2 linked regions of the Lonchura striata genome follow. The protein of the gene in region 1 purifies or fractionates together with the protein of each later gene. This does not show direct contact. Links are inferred from orthologs where the notes say so. Each region holds a gene or a part of one and is shown on either strand. Other genes may lie near its edges.

Region 1 (7,591 bases):
ACCTGCACAATAAACAGGAAAAAGCTATTAAGAAACTCAATCTATTCTAATACTTCTCAAGAACAGAGAGTGCTTATTTAATATTTTAGAGTAAACAGTTTTGAAAAATGTCAAACTATCTCGAAACCGAGATATTATAACAACAATACTAAATTTGCAGAGTGAAAACCATCAAAATCTACAAATACACAGGACAAATGTTGACCTCAGATTAAGCAAATTTAATCCTTTTGCAAGCAGTGATGAATACACTAATAGCACTTCTGGAATGACATTATTATCTCACTGAAATCAGCTATAGGAGTTCTATTAACTGCAATAGATCCAAGGTTTCATTCCTGAGCTGTGAGGTGATGAAACAAAATGAATCAGATGTTGGAGAAGGTTGCCAGATATTGCTGATCAACAGCACAGGTGTTGTTTTAATATAAAAATTACATCGGTCTGGATGAAATAGAAGCATTAGATCAGAAATTATACTAAATGCAATAAAACAGATCAATGCATTAGTAAATTTCAAAATGTGTTCAAACAACAACAAAGACCACAGTAAAAAACAGCTTTGAGTTGGAAATTAAACTGTGGCCTTACTGGGGTCCTTTGCAGACTCAGTGATTGTGTGACATCCCCCCAGAGCTTGGGACTGTGCTCTGTTCTTCATGCACTGCCTCTCACTATGCTTTTGATAAGTACCAACCCAGCCTTCCCCCAAACCATGCACATCCCTGATGTCAGTCCCATCTACTGCACAGCCATGTCTAACAGGGTGCTTGCATGGGAAAACCTCTAAATCCTATTATCATACTAAGGAGATATCCAAACTTCTGGTTTTCCTCAGTTTTTCTTAAACAAGAGATGTGTAGAAGAATTGCGCAACAGAGATACTTCTGTCTTGTAAATATGCATGGCGGAAACTTCGAAACTTCTTTTGCATTTGTACTCTTTACTGTTATTTTTTAACCTCATTAAAAGGAGAAAAGACAGAAACTTTTGAGGCATTCAGCATTTTGCAGCTATTTCCCATGTCTTGATTTTATGAAAGCTGAGACCCAGTTCTTCTGGTACATAAGCAGCAGGTAATTCTGGAGGCTGAATTACTATTTCTGAGAAGCATGCACTATGGCTTAATCTTTGCTTGATTCACGAACAGAAACAGAGAGTGGAAATAACAGAGTTAACATTCTTCTTCTATGTTAAGACAGAAGATGAAAAACCTCTGTTTTCCAGTTTATCTTCCAGATCCCAAGGGTAAGAATGCATAAACAGAGTGGAACATTTGTTTTGTTAACAAAGCCCAACAGACCACCAGATAACAATTTTAAATATTGCACTGTAAATAAAAGATGTAATTTAAGATGCTGTTTTATGTGCATTATAAAGTAAGTCTGGAAAAAACCTGCAGCCAGAGTAGCTGCAGAGCTCTAGCGGCATTTTCACACATAGGTCATGTAACTCCACCTTTTGAAGCCAATTTCAATCAGGCAAACCTGCTCTGAGGTGCTTTTCTAGAGCACTTTTTACTTGTTTCTTCTTCAGGCAGTGATGGTATTAAAATCATGTGGGTTTTGGTGTTGGCAAGAGCGGTGTGGAAAAAAGTATGTAGGAATGATGGTGGCAGGCCTGGAGGAGGGGCAGGCAGCTGAAGTGGAGGGTGGGGGCTCCAAGGCAGAACCTGAACCTAAATTACTCAGAGGGCCTCCCCAGCCTTCCCAGTCCACAGTCCTTCCTTCATGGCTCGGCTGAACTACAGGTATTCACCAAAGAAATTATGTGATCCACAAGTATTACTATGAAGAGCTGATTTTGAATGCAAACCATTTAAGTCCTCTCAATGTATTTATTATCAGGACATATTTTTGAAATGGGTTATTATGTCCCTATATATGTTCTTAGCATACCTACACCAGATTTTGCAAGAGAGAAAAAATGTGTTAGTCCTTCTGACTAAATTTTTCTCACCTGTACTCCAACTTTGCATGAATACAAACATATCTCTTACAGGAGAATTCTTCAGAAGCAGATTTAGGACACAGAAATCATCAAGTTTTGGATGGATTTAACTGTCTAACTGTTTTTTCTTATTTGTTTTTTTGTTGCTGGTACATTCAAATACCCCAGGATGCACCATCTGCTTGAAAGTATGGTACTAATGAAAAGGCCCACAGTGACAACACTGTATCTGACAAAAAGTGTTAGCAAGGAGGATGGGAAACAACTCATGTTCCTGCCTACTAATACATAATAGCTCTTATTTCTCATTCAGGTTTTGCAGGAGCTCAGTCTCTCTCAACTTTTCACAGAATTGTAGAATTGTTGGAAGAGTTGGAAGAAACGTCTGGAGATCATCTAGTCCAGACCCCCTCCCAAAGCAGGGTCACCTAAAGCAGGTGACACAGGAACTCATCCAGGTGGATTTTGAATGTCTCCAGAGAGGGAGATTCTATAACTCCCCTGTTCCAGTGCTCGGTGACCCTTAATATAAAAAAGTTCTTCATGTTGAGATGGAACTTCTTGTGTTTGAGTTTATGGCCACTGCTCCTTGTCCTGTCTCTGGGCACCATTGAAAAATTTGGCACCATCCTCTTGACACCTACCTTTGAGACACTTACATGAGATCCCTTCTGTCTTCTCTTCTCTACACTAAACAGGTCCATTTATTCCCTGTTAATATTCCTAAGACTTAATGTAATGACAGTTTTCCAACTTTAATGGTTTTGGCTGTTTTCAAGGCCAGAAGGTCAGGCCATCCATGACAGTGCCCAGGACTGGACCCAGCCATCCCAATGTTGAGTCTCTTGATGCTTCTTTCCGGTACCCTCAAGAATATCACTTTTACATCCAGAACTTCACAGCTCTCTCTCTCTGAACACAGTAGTTCCACCACAGGGACAAGCCGCGTTTGAGTACTCCTTCATCCTTGCTGAGCCTATGTCTGGTTGTCTTTTCGGTCTGGTTATTAATCTCAACTACAGAGATGCAAGTGGCAATGTTTTTCAAGATGCTGTCTTCAATCAAACTGTTACAATTTTTGAAAATTTTATTTTTAAACGAGGGTACATGGCAGCATCTGGGAACTGCCTCACCCATGAACAGCACTGACCCGTGTCCGAGCCACCAGCGCTGCCAGGACCCACCACCCAGGTTCGCTCTCCCTTCTCCAGTTTAGAGGGAAAGGCCGGTCAAGCCAATGCCCCTGAGGCCCGAGGGAAGGGCGCCCGGTGTCCCCTCCAAGACTACAACTCCCAGCAGGTCCCGCTACTACCGCGGGGCATGCCGGGTGCTGTAGTTCTCCCGGCGCGGCTGCCCGAAGCGCCGAGCCAGCGGCACCCTGCCCGCTCCATCCCGAACTGTGTGTGTGTGCTTGGGAAGGCGAGGAGCGGGGATGATGATTCTCCCCGCTCCGCCGCAGCCACCGCTGCTTGTGGGGACTGGACCGGCATAAGATGCAGTGCCGGGGAAGCCAGACTGGATCAATGAGCCGAGACCAATGGTGTGAGGTTCAACAAGACCTAGTGCCAGGTCCTGCGCTTGTGTCACACCAACCCCTGCAGCGCTACAGGCTGCGGGAAGACTGGCTGGAAAAAGTGCTCAGCAGAAAGGGGTCTAGGGATGCTGGTCAGCAGCAGCTGAACATGAACCAGCGTGTGACTAGGTGGCCAAGAAGGTCAATGGCATTCGGGCCTTTATCAGGCATCATGTGGCAGCAGGACCAGGACAATGATTTCCCCCCTATATATAGCACTGGTGAGACTGCACTTGAGAACTGTGTCCAATTCTGGGCCACTCAATTCAGGAAAGACATTCAGGTGCTGGAGTGTGTCCAGATAAAGGCAATGAAGCTGGTGAAGGGTCTGGAGCACATGTCCTGTGAGGAGCAGCCGAGGGAGCTGAGAGTGTTTAGCCTGGAGGACAGGCGGCTCGGGGCGGTCCGTGTCTCCCTCTACAAGTGCCTGACAGGAGGTTTTGGCCAAGTAGGGGTCAGTCTCCCAGGCAATTAGCAATAGGATGACAGTACAAAACCTCAACTTCCACCAGGAGAGCTTTAGGTTGGACATTAGGACTAATTTCTTCACAGAAAGAGTGATTAGGTATTGGAATGTGATGCCTAGAGGGGTGGTGGAGTCACGGTCCCTGGAGGTGTTTAAAGAAAGACTGGACGTGGCACTGAGTGCTGTGCTCTGCCTTACAGGGTGCTGTCCTGTCACAGGTTGGACCCCATGATCTCCAACCCAACTGATTCTGGGATTCTGACTCGCTCTACCCGCCAGAGTGGAAGGGAATTGCGCGTGGGTGTGTGCGTTCGCCCCTGTGTTTCCACGTCCCTCTGTGTCCCGCTGTCCGTGTGTGTGGGACGACCCCGCGGCACCCGGGCGCATGCGCACAAGGAAGGCCGGGGGGGCGCGCCGCCGCCGTCGTGCCCGCGCAGGGGGCGGTGCTGCCGGGGCTGGGAGGGCGCGGGGCCGCGCTCGGGGGCGCGCAGCAGCAGCGGCAGTGCCCGCCCTCGGCCCGCGTCCCGCCGGCAGAGCCCGCAGAGCCGCGCCGAGGCACCGCCCGCCCGCCGTGAGGGAGCGGCGGCACCGCCGGCCCCCTCCGCCCCTCCTCCGCCTCCTCCTCCGCCTCCTCCGCCCCTCCTCCCGCCGGAGCGAGCGAGCGAGATGGCGGCCGCTGGGGCTCTGGCGAAGCACGAGCAGATCCTAGTGCTCGATCCGCCCACCGACCTCAAATTCAAAGGTGAGGAGGGGGGAAGCCGGCGCGGCGGCGGGGAGAGGGGCGGCGGCGGCGGGGTGTCCCGTTCCGCCTGGGCGCCGGGCCGCCTCCGGGCGCCGCGTTCCCGCTGCCTGCCGCGGGCGGGCCGCGCTGCCGGGCGCTGCCCGCCCGCCGGGGGATGGGGGGCGCCGCCGAGCCGGCGAGCGGGATCGGCCGCCGCCATCTTGGGCTCCCGCGGGCTCCGCGGTGCCGGGTGGGATCGGCCGCCCCTGCCCGCCCCGCCCCGCCGTGGCGCCGCTGCGCTCGCGGGCCCGGCCCCGAGCAGCGGCGCCCGGGGACGCGGTTTGCTCTCCGGTCCCTCTGGCAGCAGCGGGCAGGAGAGGCCCTGGCGCGGGCGGTGGAAGCCTTTCGGGGTTCCAGGCTTCACGAGGCTGCCCTAACGTCTGGCCTTGCCCCGCTTTTTCTCTCGGGCGTGCTGGGGCCCCGGTGTCCGCGCGGAGCCGGTGCGGCTTTGCACCGTCAGTGCCCGGCACCCGCGCCCTCGCCCCGCTGCGTCCCAGCCCGGCAAAGGGCTCCCCGCCCCTTCCCCAAAGCTGTCGCGTCTCAGGCAGGCTATCGGAACGTAACTCGGGAGCTCGCCTCTTTCCTGGGAGCGAGGGAAATGGAATGCGTGCCTTTCGGAAGTTTTATGTGTGTTGCGTGCCGGCCGCATGGCTGTGACTGCTGACGTGCTGCTGTCAAAATAGGTCCCAGCTAGCGCTGGTATCGTGTGTGTCTGTGGTTTTCTCTCCTCATGAATTAGGTAGTTGTGAAAGGAAAGGCTCTGTCAGAAGTGAGTGATCGTTGAAAGGCAGGGGCATAAAGAAAAGTGTGTCAGAACATGTAGTTTTTGTGATGATATCTTATATCTGTAAGGGGCATTGAGAAAAATCTCAGAACCTTTCAGATTTGGAATCATCAGTATTAGGTTTTTTATTAAAAAAAAAAGTAGTTAATATTATGTGAAATAACATTGTAAATTGTTGTGGTTGGTGTCAGCACATGTACATGCCTAATCCTGTGCATTCTTCTGTTTTCCACTTTTAGTATGCTCATTTTTCATTGTTTTTAGAGGACAGAGTGGAATTTACGATGCTGTAAAAATCTTCTACGGACAGCTAGAACAAATGAATGTTTGTATTAAAAAGAACACTGTATTCCCCCAAAATAGCTTTGCTCTGGCCTAGCATTTAGATAAATTAGCAAACTATACTTGTTTTATTGATGCGTCAGATCAATTAAAACCCAACATCTGTATAATTATGTGTATTAATTTCTCGATAGCTTCAGTTTAATTTTTTTTTTTTAAATTGCACTTTTTAAAAATTACACAGAGTCAAAACCGTTGCAGGAACTTGTGATTTTTCACTTTGGTTTTTGGGTATTAAAATGCTGCCTAAATTAAAATGCTGTGGTCAGAACAGGTTGATGCAAGAACAGGTTGGGGGAAAATGTATTATTTTAATTTTTTTTTTTTTCAATTAAAAGAAGATACTGTGTCCGATTTGTAGCCTGCAAATGGTGAGATGTGTTTTAAGCTGGAACTACACAATATTGATGTGATATGAAAGAGTGTGTTGATAGAATAAATACTAGATTAGAAATTCTGTGTGAAGCTGTTGTCAGTGATCTTTATTGTGCTGTGTGTTTATGTACTTAGAGCATGAAATGTGTATTCTTTAGGCATAAACTTTAGTTTCAGGCTAATGCATATATTAGGAAAATTTCTGTAGAGCAGACTAAGCAAAAACAAAATATGAAGCATAATGAGACTGCAGTACTCTGTTACTGTACTATTGTAGTAATATACTATAGAAAGTGCTATGAATTGAGAGAGCATTGAGTGCACTCTCAAGAAATATTTTCTACCTGTTTATTACTTAGAGGTGTTTAAAAAGGTTTGTGTGCCACAAACAAATGCAGTTCTAAAGTACTGTGTTGAAGAATACAATATTGACAGCAGTGAATTCTGAGTGTCACCTTTTAAAAAGTAATTGGTTAGTAAGAAAGAGAATGTATGACTCAGAATAAATATAGCATAGTGTAAGAAAAGCACAAAACTTTGTTAAAAGAATAAAGCGCTACATTTTTTCAGTGCTGTTCAAAGTTATTTTATTGGTACAGTCATCCATTTTATTATTACTAGTATCGTTGATGCATATGTAACAGAGATCCAGTTTACATCTAAACATTTGAATTGAACAAATAATTTTGTTGGTTTTCTTGCCTCAGGAAGTTAAAATGGATTTGCTGACCTTTAGGGTAACAGTGAAATGTGATAGTGTGCCCCTTTACAAACAACTGTTTTATTAAAAGATATGTAGTACTTATCTTAACGAGTTGTTAACAAGGTTTTAAATTCATCATGACCTGATGAAACTGCTTTTTTTATTAATCTAACCTAATTTATCCTGTCAGCAAACATAAGGTCTGTAATACATTTATCCTTGAATTTTATTCAGCACAATTCAAGGGGAGTTCTAAGAACATGTCCTGTGGTAGCTAACATATTACATAGTTCCCTTGGTGTCCACGATGGCAATCCTGTTTTGATAGTGCTTGTAGTCCTAGAAATTTCAGTCATTAATAGTGTTCGGGTCATGGTTAATTCTCTCTGTCCCCCTTTGGTAGGTGAGTTTCTTTGGATTCTGAAACAACCAAGAATATCTTAAGAAAACTCACAAAACAAATAAGTACTTCTCATAGTGTTGTGCAAATGTGACAAAGGGAAAAAGTGTACTTAAAAGTGATGAAACCAAGAGGCGGTTAATAAACTACATAATAGCAGGTTCAGAGCATGGAGCACTGAGAATTTGCCTCATGGCAAAATTCTGCTCTTGTACCC
Region 2 (7,209 bases), on another chromosome or scaffold:
CCCCCAGTGCCCCCCAGTTCCCCTCAGTCACCCCCCAGTTGCTCCCAGTTCCTCCCAGTCGCCCCCAGTGCCCCCCAGTTCCCTCCAGTCGCTCCCAGTGCCCCGTACCCAGGCGCAGAGCCCGACCCGCTCCCAGTGCAGACTTTCGGGGGGCTCCAGCGGGGACCCCGGTTCTGCCCCCACGAAGAATTCATACACGAGGTGTCCTGGAGGGGGAGGGGGCGCAGCCTCAGTGCCCAGACACCCAGAGCCCCCCCGGACACCCAGAGCCCCCCCGGACACCCAGAGCCCCCCCGGATGACCAGAGCCCCCCCGGATGCCCAGAGCCCCCCAGCCTGGCCCCCCAGCACCCACCGCCACCCCCGAGCCCCCCAATCCCCTCCCACAGACCCCCCACTTGCCATGACCCCCCCAATCCCCTCCCCAGCCCCCCCAGCCCCCCAAATCCCCTCCCCAGGCCCCCGCTCACCGGTGCCCCCCCCCCGCAGTCGCCGCCGCGTGAGGAGGACGAGCCCGAGGCCGAAGGCGACGCTGGACGCGGCCGCCGCCAGCGGGGGGAGGAGGGGGCACAGGGGGGGCAGGGGGACCCCCAGGGCCAGAGCCCCCCCCAGCGCCCCCCCCAGCGCCAGGAGCCCTGAGCCAGCGGCAGGGAGAGCTGCGACCCCCGAAGGGACGCCCGAGCCCCCAGCCCACCCCCAACCCCCCAAAAGGACCCTGGGCCACCCCCCCGAGTCCCACCAGGACCCCCGACCCCTCCGAGGGACCCTGGGCTCGGACCCCCACCCAGCCCCCCCAGAGGGGCCCCCAGGGACCCCCACTCACAGCCGAGGTCCCGCAGGGGTCCTGGGGTGTCACCGGGGCTCTGGGGACAGCAGAGTCACCCTGACCCCCCGCCCTGACCCCCTAGACCCACCGGGACCCCCCCCCCACTCCCCTCCTCAGTGTCTGCAGAACCCTGGAACCACCCAAGCCACCCCCACCGTGCCCCCACCCCCCAAATCTCCCACCCCACAAATCCCCCCAAATACTCCAAGCGCCCCCAAATTCCTGCATCCCCATATCCCCCTCATATCCCCCACCCCCCAAATTTCCCAAGCCCCCCCAAATCCCCACATCCCCCCCAAATCCCCCTCATATTCCCCACCCCCCAAAACCCCCCATGCCCCTCGAATCCCCAAGCCCCCGTGCCCCCCACTCACCCTCGGGGGTCTGCAGCAGCTCCCGAGCGCATGCGCGCCCACCCAGGCGAGGACGAGCGCCAGCGCGGGGGCCGTGGGCAGGGCCAGGGCGGGGGTCCCCCAGCCCTCCCCCTCCCCCACGCAGGCGCTGACGACCCCCACCAGCCCCAGCGGCAGCAGCAGCGTCAGAGCCCCCGCGCCTGGGGGGGGCGGGTGAGACCCCACCCCAAAAAGGGACCCAGGGACCCCCCAAGGAAAGGGGCCTGGGTGTGTCCCCCTCCCCAAAAAAGGGTCACTCCCCCCCCACCCCCACAAGGGGTCTGAGGGCCGGGTGCCCCCTTTCCCCCAAAAGGGGTCCCCAACCCCTCCCAAAGGGGACCCCAGACTCCCAGCCCCTCCCAAAGGGGACCCCAGCCCCCCAAAAGGGGACCCCAGACTCCCAGCCCCTCCCAAAGGGGACCCCAGCCCCCCAAAAGGGGACCCCAGACTCCCAGCCCCTCCCAAAGGGGACCCCAGGCTCTCGACACCCTCAGCCCCCAAAGGCATCAGGAGCTCCCTTCCCCCTCCCCAAAAAGTGACCCAGTTGTGCCCCCACCCCCCAAAACTGAACCCCCCCTTACCCCAGGGCCCCCCAAATTCCAGCTCGGGGGTGGGAGGTGCTCGGGGGGGCTCCATGGCTGGGGGAGGGACGAGGGGATTTTGGGGGGATTTTGGGGGGATTTTGGGGGTCCGGGGCGCGCAATCTCCGCCTCTGGGGGCGTGGCTTGGCGATGACCACGCCTCCCAGGTGGGTGATGTCATCGTGCCGCGCGCGGATTGGCTGCAGCGCCGCCCCGCCCCCCTTAAAGAGACAGTAACCCTTTTCTGGTGTTCTGTGACGTCACGAGTTACGTCATCACACGGCAGACCCACGACAAAAACTCGTTTAATGGGCAACAAACGGGGGGCGGTGTGGGGGCTGACAGCTCCGGGGGTCCCACACATGTGGGGCCCCTCCCCCCCCACGGGGGTCTCACCTCAGGGTCCCACAGGGCAGGGGAGGGGCTCTGCATGGGGGGTCCCCGCACAAGGACCCCCCAGTCCCGAGGGTCCCGTGGGGGTCCCGTGGGGGTCCCCAGGCGTCTCTCTGGCCTGGAGAGGTCCCACAGGGGTCTGGAGGGTCCCCCGAGGGTCCCTCCTGCACGGGGGGGCCCCAGGGGTCTCGGGGTCACTCCACGACGAGCGGGAACCTCTCGGCCTCCTCGAACTGCGCGTTCATGGAGGAGGCCCAGGCCTCGAGCTCCGACAGCTGCGGGGGCACGGGGAAGCTGGGGGGCACTGGGGAATGAGGGTACGGGGGAATGGGGGGCACTGGGGAATGAGGGTACGGGAATGGGGGGCACTGGGGAATGGGGGTACGGGAATGGGGGGCACGGGGGAATGGGGGGCACTGGGGAATGAGGGTACGGGAATGGGGGGCACTGGGGAATGGGGGTACGGGAATGGGGGGCACTGGGGAATGGGGGCACGGGGGAATGGGGGGCACTGGGGAATGAGGGTACAGGAATGGGGGCATGGGGATGGGGGGCACTGGGGAATGGGGGCACGGGGGAATGGGGGGCACTGGGGAATGAGGGTACAGGAATGGGGGCACGGGGATGGGGGCAGTGGGGGCACAGGGATGGGGGGCACTGGGGAGTCAGTGGGGGAAAAGGGGGGCTGAGGGGAGCAGCAGGGCAGGGGGGAGGGTCAGGGGGGTGAGGGTCCCACAGATCCATGGGGGGGTCTGGGGATGCTGAGGGGGTCATGGACTCCTGGCACTTTAGGGGGGCATTTTAGGGGTCTGGGGGGGGGGGTAAATAGGGGCACTGAGGGGTCACAGGGGAGTCCTGGTGGCACAGGGGGGGCACAGAAGGGTCCCGGGGGGTCCCAGGGGGCATCACTCACGTCAATGGGCGTCACCTTCTTCTTCCTCCTGCGCTCAGGGCGGCCGCTGATGCCGGGCAGGTCGAGGGGGGGGATCTGGGGGGGCTCGGGGGGCAGATTGAGGGGGAGGGGGCTCAGCGGGGAGCCCCCCAGCCCCCGCGGGGCGCCCCCCCCCGGCTCCAGGCGGCTGTAGGAGCGGCGGACGCGGGAGGCAATGGGGGAGGGGAGCGGGGAGAGGGGAGGGCAGGGGGACGGGGAGGGGCAGGGGTCGTTCTCCTTCTGGGCCTGCAGCTGTGGAGGGGGGCAGGGGGGGTCAGCGTGGGGGAGGGAAGGGCAGGGTGGGGTCCCGGCCTTACCAGGACCCCCCCATCCCCACCGCAGCCCCCTCCCCCCCAACACACCCGGGGGCTCCGTCGGGGTCGGTCCAAGTCCTGTGGGGGAGGGGAGAGGGTCTGTGAGCCCCCAAACCGGGACGCCCCCCCGAAAACCCCGGGACCCCCCCCCAAACCCTGGGGCTCCTGGAACACCCCCCAGGACCCCCCACAACCCACTGGGACCTCCCTCTTCATGCCCCTGAGAGCCCCCAGCCCCTAGGACCCCCCCCAAACCCCTTGGGGACCCACCCCCGACCCCCAGAACCGTCCCCCAGCCCCCCACTCACCGGGCTGTGGGGTGGGGGTCCCCAGGGGGGGCCACCCCGGGGCGACGAGACCACCAAGCGCTCGGAGCTGTGTCGCGGCACTGCGGGGGCAAAGGTGCGGGGCGTGGTGGGGGGCGAGGGTCGCGACCCCCGGGACCGCCCCAGGGACACTCCAAACCCCGCAGAGCCCCCCCAGAGCCGCAGGACGGACACCCCCGGCCCACAGCCCTGCCCGTGAACCGACCCCAGCCCCAAATTCCCTCGGGGTCCCCCCAAGGCGCCCCCAGCCCCACCCCCGCCCCAAATCCCCCTCGGGACCAGCCCACCCCCAAATGCCGCCCGGCACCCCCCGGCCCCCCTCACCCCTCGGAGTCGCCCCCGCCGAGCGCCGCCCGCCCGCGGCTCCCGCCATGGCCGTTCGAACGGCCGGAAGTGGCGTCACGCCGCGCGCCGCAGCAGCCCGGCCGCGCTTCCGGTGACGTCACCCAGGGGCGCCGCACCCGGAAGCGCCAGCGGGGCAGCGCGGTCGCCATAGGAACGGTGAGGGGGGGTTTGGGGGGATTTGGGGGATCCAAGGAGGGTCCGGGGGGATCCCGTGGGTCCGGGGGTCCCGGGGGTCCCGTGGGTCCGGGGGTCCCGTGGGTCCGGGGGGATCTCGTGGGTCCGGGGGTCCCGTGGGTCCCGTGGGTCCGGGAGGGTCCCGTGGGTCCGGGGGTCCCGTGGGTCCGGGGGTCCCGGGCAGCGGCAGCTCCTCCGGGGGGCTCGGGAGCCCCCGGTCCCCCCGACTTGCCGGCTCGGCGCCGCCCAGGCCGCCATGGGGCTGTGCAAGTGCCCGAAGCGCCGGGTGACCACGCTCTTCTGCTTCGAGCATCGCGTCAACGTCTGCGAGAGCTGCCTGGTCAGCGCGCACCCCAAGGTGGGGCGGGGGCTCTGGGGGCTCTGGGGGGCTCCGGGGGGCTGGGAAGGTTCGGGGGGCTCGGGGGGACTCTGGGGGGGCACTGGGGGGGATTCAGCGGGCTCTGCGGGGCTGGGGAAGGTTTGGGGCTCTCAGCGGGGCTGTGGGGGTCCCGGGGTGCCCCGCTGCCCGCTGAGCGCCGTGTCCCGCAGTGCATCGTGCGGTCATACCTGCAGTGGCTGCAGGACAGCGACTACAGCCCGCAGTGCCCGCTGTGCCGGGCGCCGCTGGGCGAGCGCGACACCGTCCGGCTGGCCTGCTACGGTGGGCAGGGGGCACAGGGGTCCTGGGGGCTTGGGGGGTCCTGGGGGGGTCTTGGTGGGCACCGTCCAGCTGGCCTGCTATGGTGGGCGGGGGCACGGGGGGTCAGGGGGTCCTGGGGGGTCCTGGGGGCACCGTCTGGCTGGCCTGCTATGGCGGGCAGGGGGCACGGGGGTCCTGGGGGCTCGGGGGGTCCTAAGGGGGTCCTGGTGGGCACCGTCCAGCTGGCCTGCTATGGTGGACGGGGGGTCCTGGGGGTCCTGGGGGGCACCATGAGGCTGGCCTGCTACAGTGGGTGGGGGGCACGGGGGGTCTTGGGGGGTCCTAGGGGGGTCCTGGGGGGCACCATGAGGCTGGGCATGGCGAGTTCTGGGGGGCTCGGGGGGTTCTGGCCTGCTATGGTGGCCGGGGGGCACGGGGGGTTCTGGGGGTCTCGGGGGTCTGGGGAGGGCTCGGGGGGCACCGTGCAGCCGGCCTGTTAGGGTGGGTGGAGGTCCCAGGGGGCTCGGGGGTCCTGGGGGCCCGGGGAGGGCTCGGGGGGTCCCGGGTGCCCCTGACCCTCCCCCTGCCCCCAGACGTGTTCCACTGGCCGTGCCTGGCGGCGTGGGCGCGGGCGCTGCCCCCCAGCACGGCCCCCGCCGGGCACCGCTGCCCCCAGTGCGGGGGGCCGCTCTTCCCGCCCCCCAACCTGCAGGGCCCCGTGGCCGAGGCGCTGCGGGCGCGGCTCCGGACGGCGCCGTGGGCCCGGCCCGGCCTGGGGCTGCCGCTGGTGAGTGCCGGGGTGGGCACGGCTCCCGGGGGGTCCCCACACCGCCCCGGAACTGCCCAGGGTGCCCCAAACCCCGCCCTGAAACGCTCCAAACCCCCCCAGATCGAGGACTCGGAGGAGCTGCCGGAGCCCGAGACCTCCACGGAGCCCGACGGGGGCTGGGACGGTGCGGGGCTGCCCCAAAAACACCCCCAGGAGCACCCCTGGGACCCTGCAGAGCCCCTGGGGAGCACCCCCGCGTTTCTGCCCGGGAAGCTGAGCCCCCCCAGCATCCCAAAACCCACCAGAGACCCTCCGAGATGATCCCTGTGTACCCCAATTCCTCCTCTGAGAGCCCCAAATTCCCCCTGGGACTAGGCAACTGCTCTGGAACCCCCCAAAAACCTTCCCAGGACCCCCAAAAATCTCCCAGGCACCCTGACCCCCCAGAAACCCTCCAAGGACCCCCAAAATTTTCCCTGGAACCCTGACCCCCCAGAAACCCTCCAAGGACCCCCAAAATTTTCCCTGGAACCCTGACCCCCCCGAAACCCTCCCAGGACCTCCAAAATCCTTCCTGGAGGCCCATCCCTCCCCCAAAGCGGCTCGATGGGACCCCAAAACCCTCTGGGACATCTCAACCCCCACCCCCCCAATCCTTCCTGGCGCACCCCAACCCCTTGAAGCCCCCCCGGGTCCTGCCCGGGGCAGCCCCCGATGCCCAGCTCTGTGCCCGCAGCCCCCCTGGCGCCGCCCCAGCCCCCCCCGAGCCCCCCAGCCCCCCACGCCGTCGTCCACATGGGGGGCGAGACCCCGACGCTGCACGCCGGTGAGTCTGGGGGCTTCGGGGGGCACCGCTGGGGGTCCCCCGGCCCGGGCTGGTTTTTAGGGTCCCCGTGCTCTCCCCCCAGGCTCTGCCCCACGGAAGCCCCTGGGGGGCCGTGAGGCCCGGAGCCCCCCCGACCACGACGAGGACAAATACCGGCGGCGGCCGCTGGCCTGGCTGCCCCCCAAGCTCAGGTGGGGCTGGGGGGGACCCGGGGGGCGCTTGGGGGGGTCACTCTGAGGGTGGCATGGGGTGCCTTTGGGGGATCCCTTTGGGGGGGTCCCTTTAGGGGGTCCTTCAGGGGTCCCTGGGCTCCCTTTGGGGGGTCTCTGGGTCCCTTCAGGGCTCCCTTTGGGGGGTCTCTGTGTCCCTTTGGGGGGTCCCTGGGTCCCTTCAGGGGTCCCTGGGCTCCCTTTGGGGGGTCTCTGGGTCCCTTCAGGGGTCCCTGGGCTCCCTTCAGGGGTCCCTGGGTCCCTTTGGGTCCCCCCTCTCTGACCCCTCCCCCGCAGGTGCCGCGCGCGCGGGGCCCCGCGGCGCCCCCTGCTGGCGCTGTGCCTGGGCGGGGCCGCGGCCTTCGCGCTGCTGCTGCTCCTATTGGCCAGCCTGGGCAGGGGCGGGGCCGACTCCGACCCCGCCCTCGAGCCGCTCAACAACCCGCACGTGCGGGTGGGGCACTGACCACGCCCCCGGGGCGGG

What was found. Proteins that work in one complex are often made in the same cells at the same time.
Region 2: the proteins of VAPA (region 1) and ZFPL1 purify together in Homo sapiens (co-immunoprecipitation; 3 studies listed by BioGRID and IntAct, counting the BioPlex papers as one, with this or other methods). This does not show direct contact. The link is inferred for Lonchura striata from reciprocal best matches to the Homo sapiens genes VAPA and ZFPL1.

What each region holds. Positions count from the first base shown.
Region 1 is NC_134603.1:51,864,878-51,872,468, forward strand, and holds the start of VAPA (vesicle-associated membrane protein-associated protein A), read left to right. Parts: upstream 1-4,576; 5' UTR 4,577-4,655; coding exon 4,656-4,731; intron 4,732-7,591. UniProt on the Homo sapiens protein: Endoplasmic reticulum (ER)-anchored protein that mediates the formation of contact sites between the ER and endosomes via interaction with FFAT motif-containing proteins such as STARD3 or WDR44.
Region 2 is NW_027461085.1:30,887-38,095, reverse strand, and holds the start of ZFPL1 (zinc finger protein-like 1), read left to right. Parts: upstream 1-4,198; 5' UTR 4,199-4,263; intron 4,264-4,531; 5' UTR 4,532-4,537; coding exon 4,538-4,639; intron 4,640-4,830; coding exon 4,831-4,942; intron 4,943-5,514; coding exon 5,515-5,708; intron 5,709-5,810; coding exon 5,811-5,998; intron 5,999-7,022; coding exon 7,023-7,191; 3' UTR 7,192-7,209. Other genes in the region: delta(14)-sterol reductase TM7SF2-like, read right to left, coding at 1,799-1,855, 1,959-1,979. UniProt on the Homo sapiens protein: Required for cis-Golgi integrity and efficient ER to Golgi transport. Involved in the maintenance of the integrity of the cis-Golgi, possibly via its interaction with GOLGA2/GM130.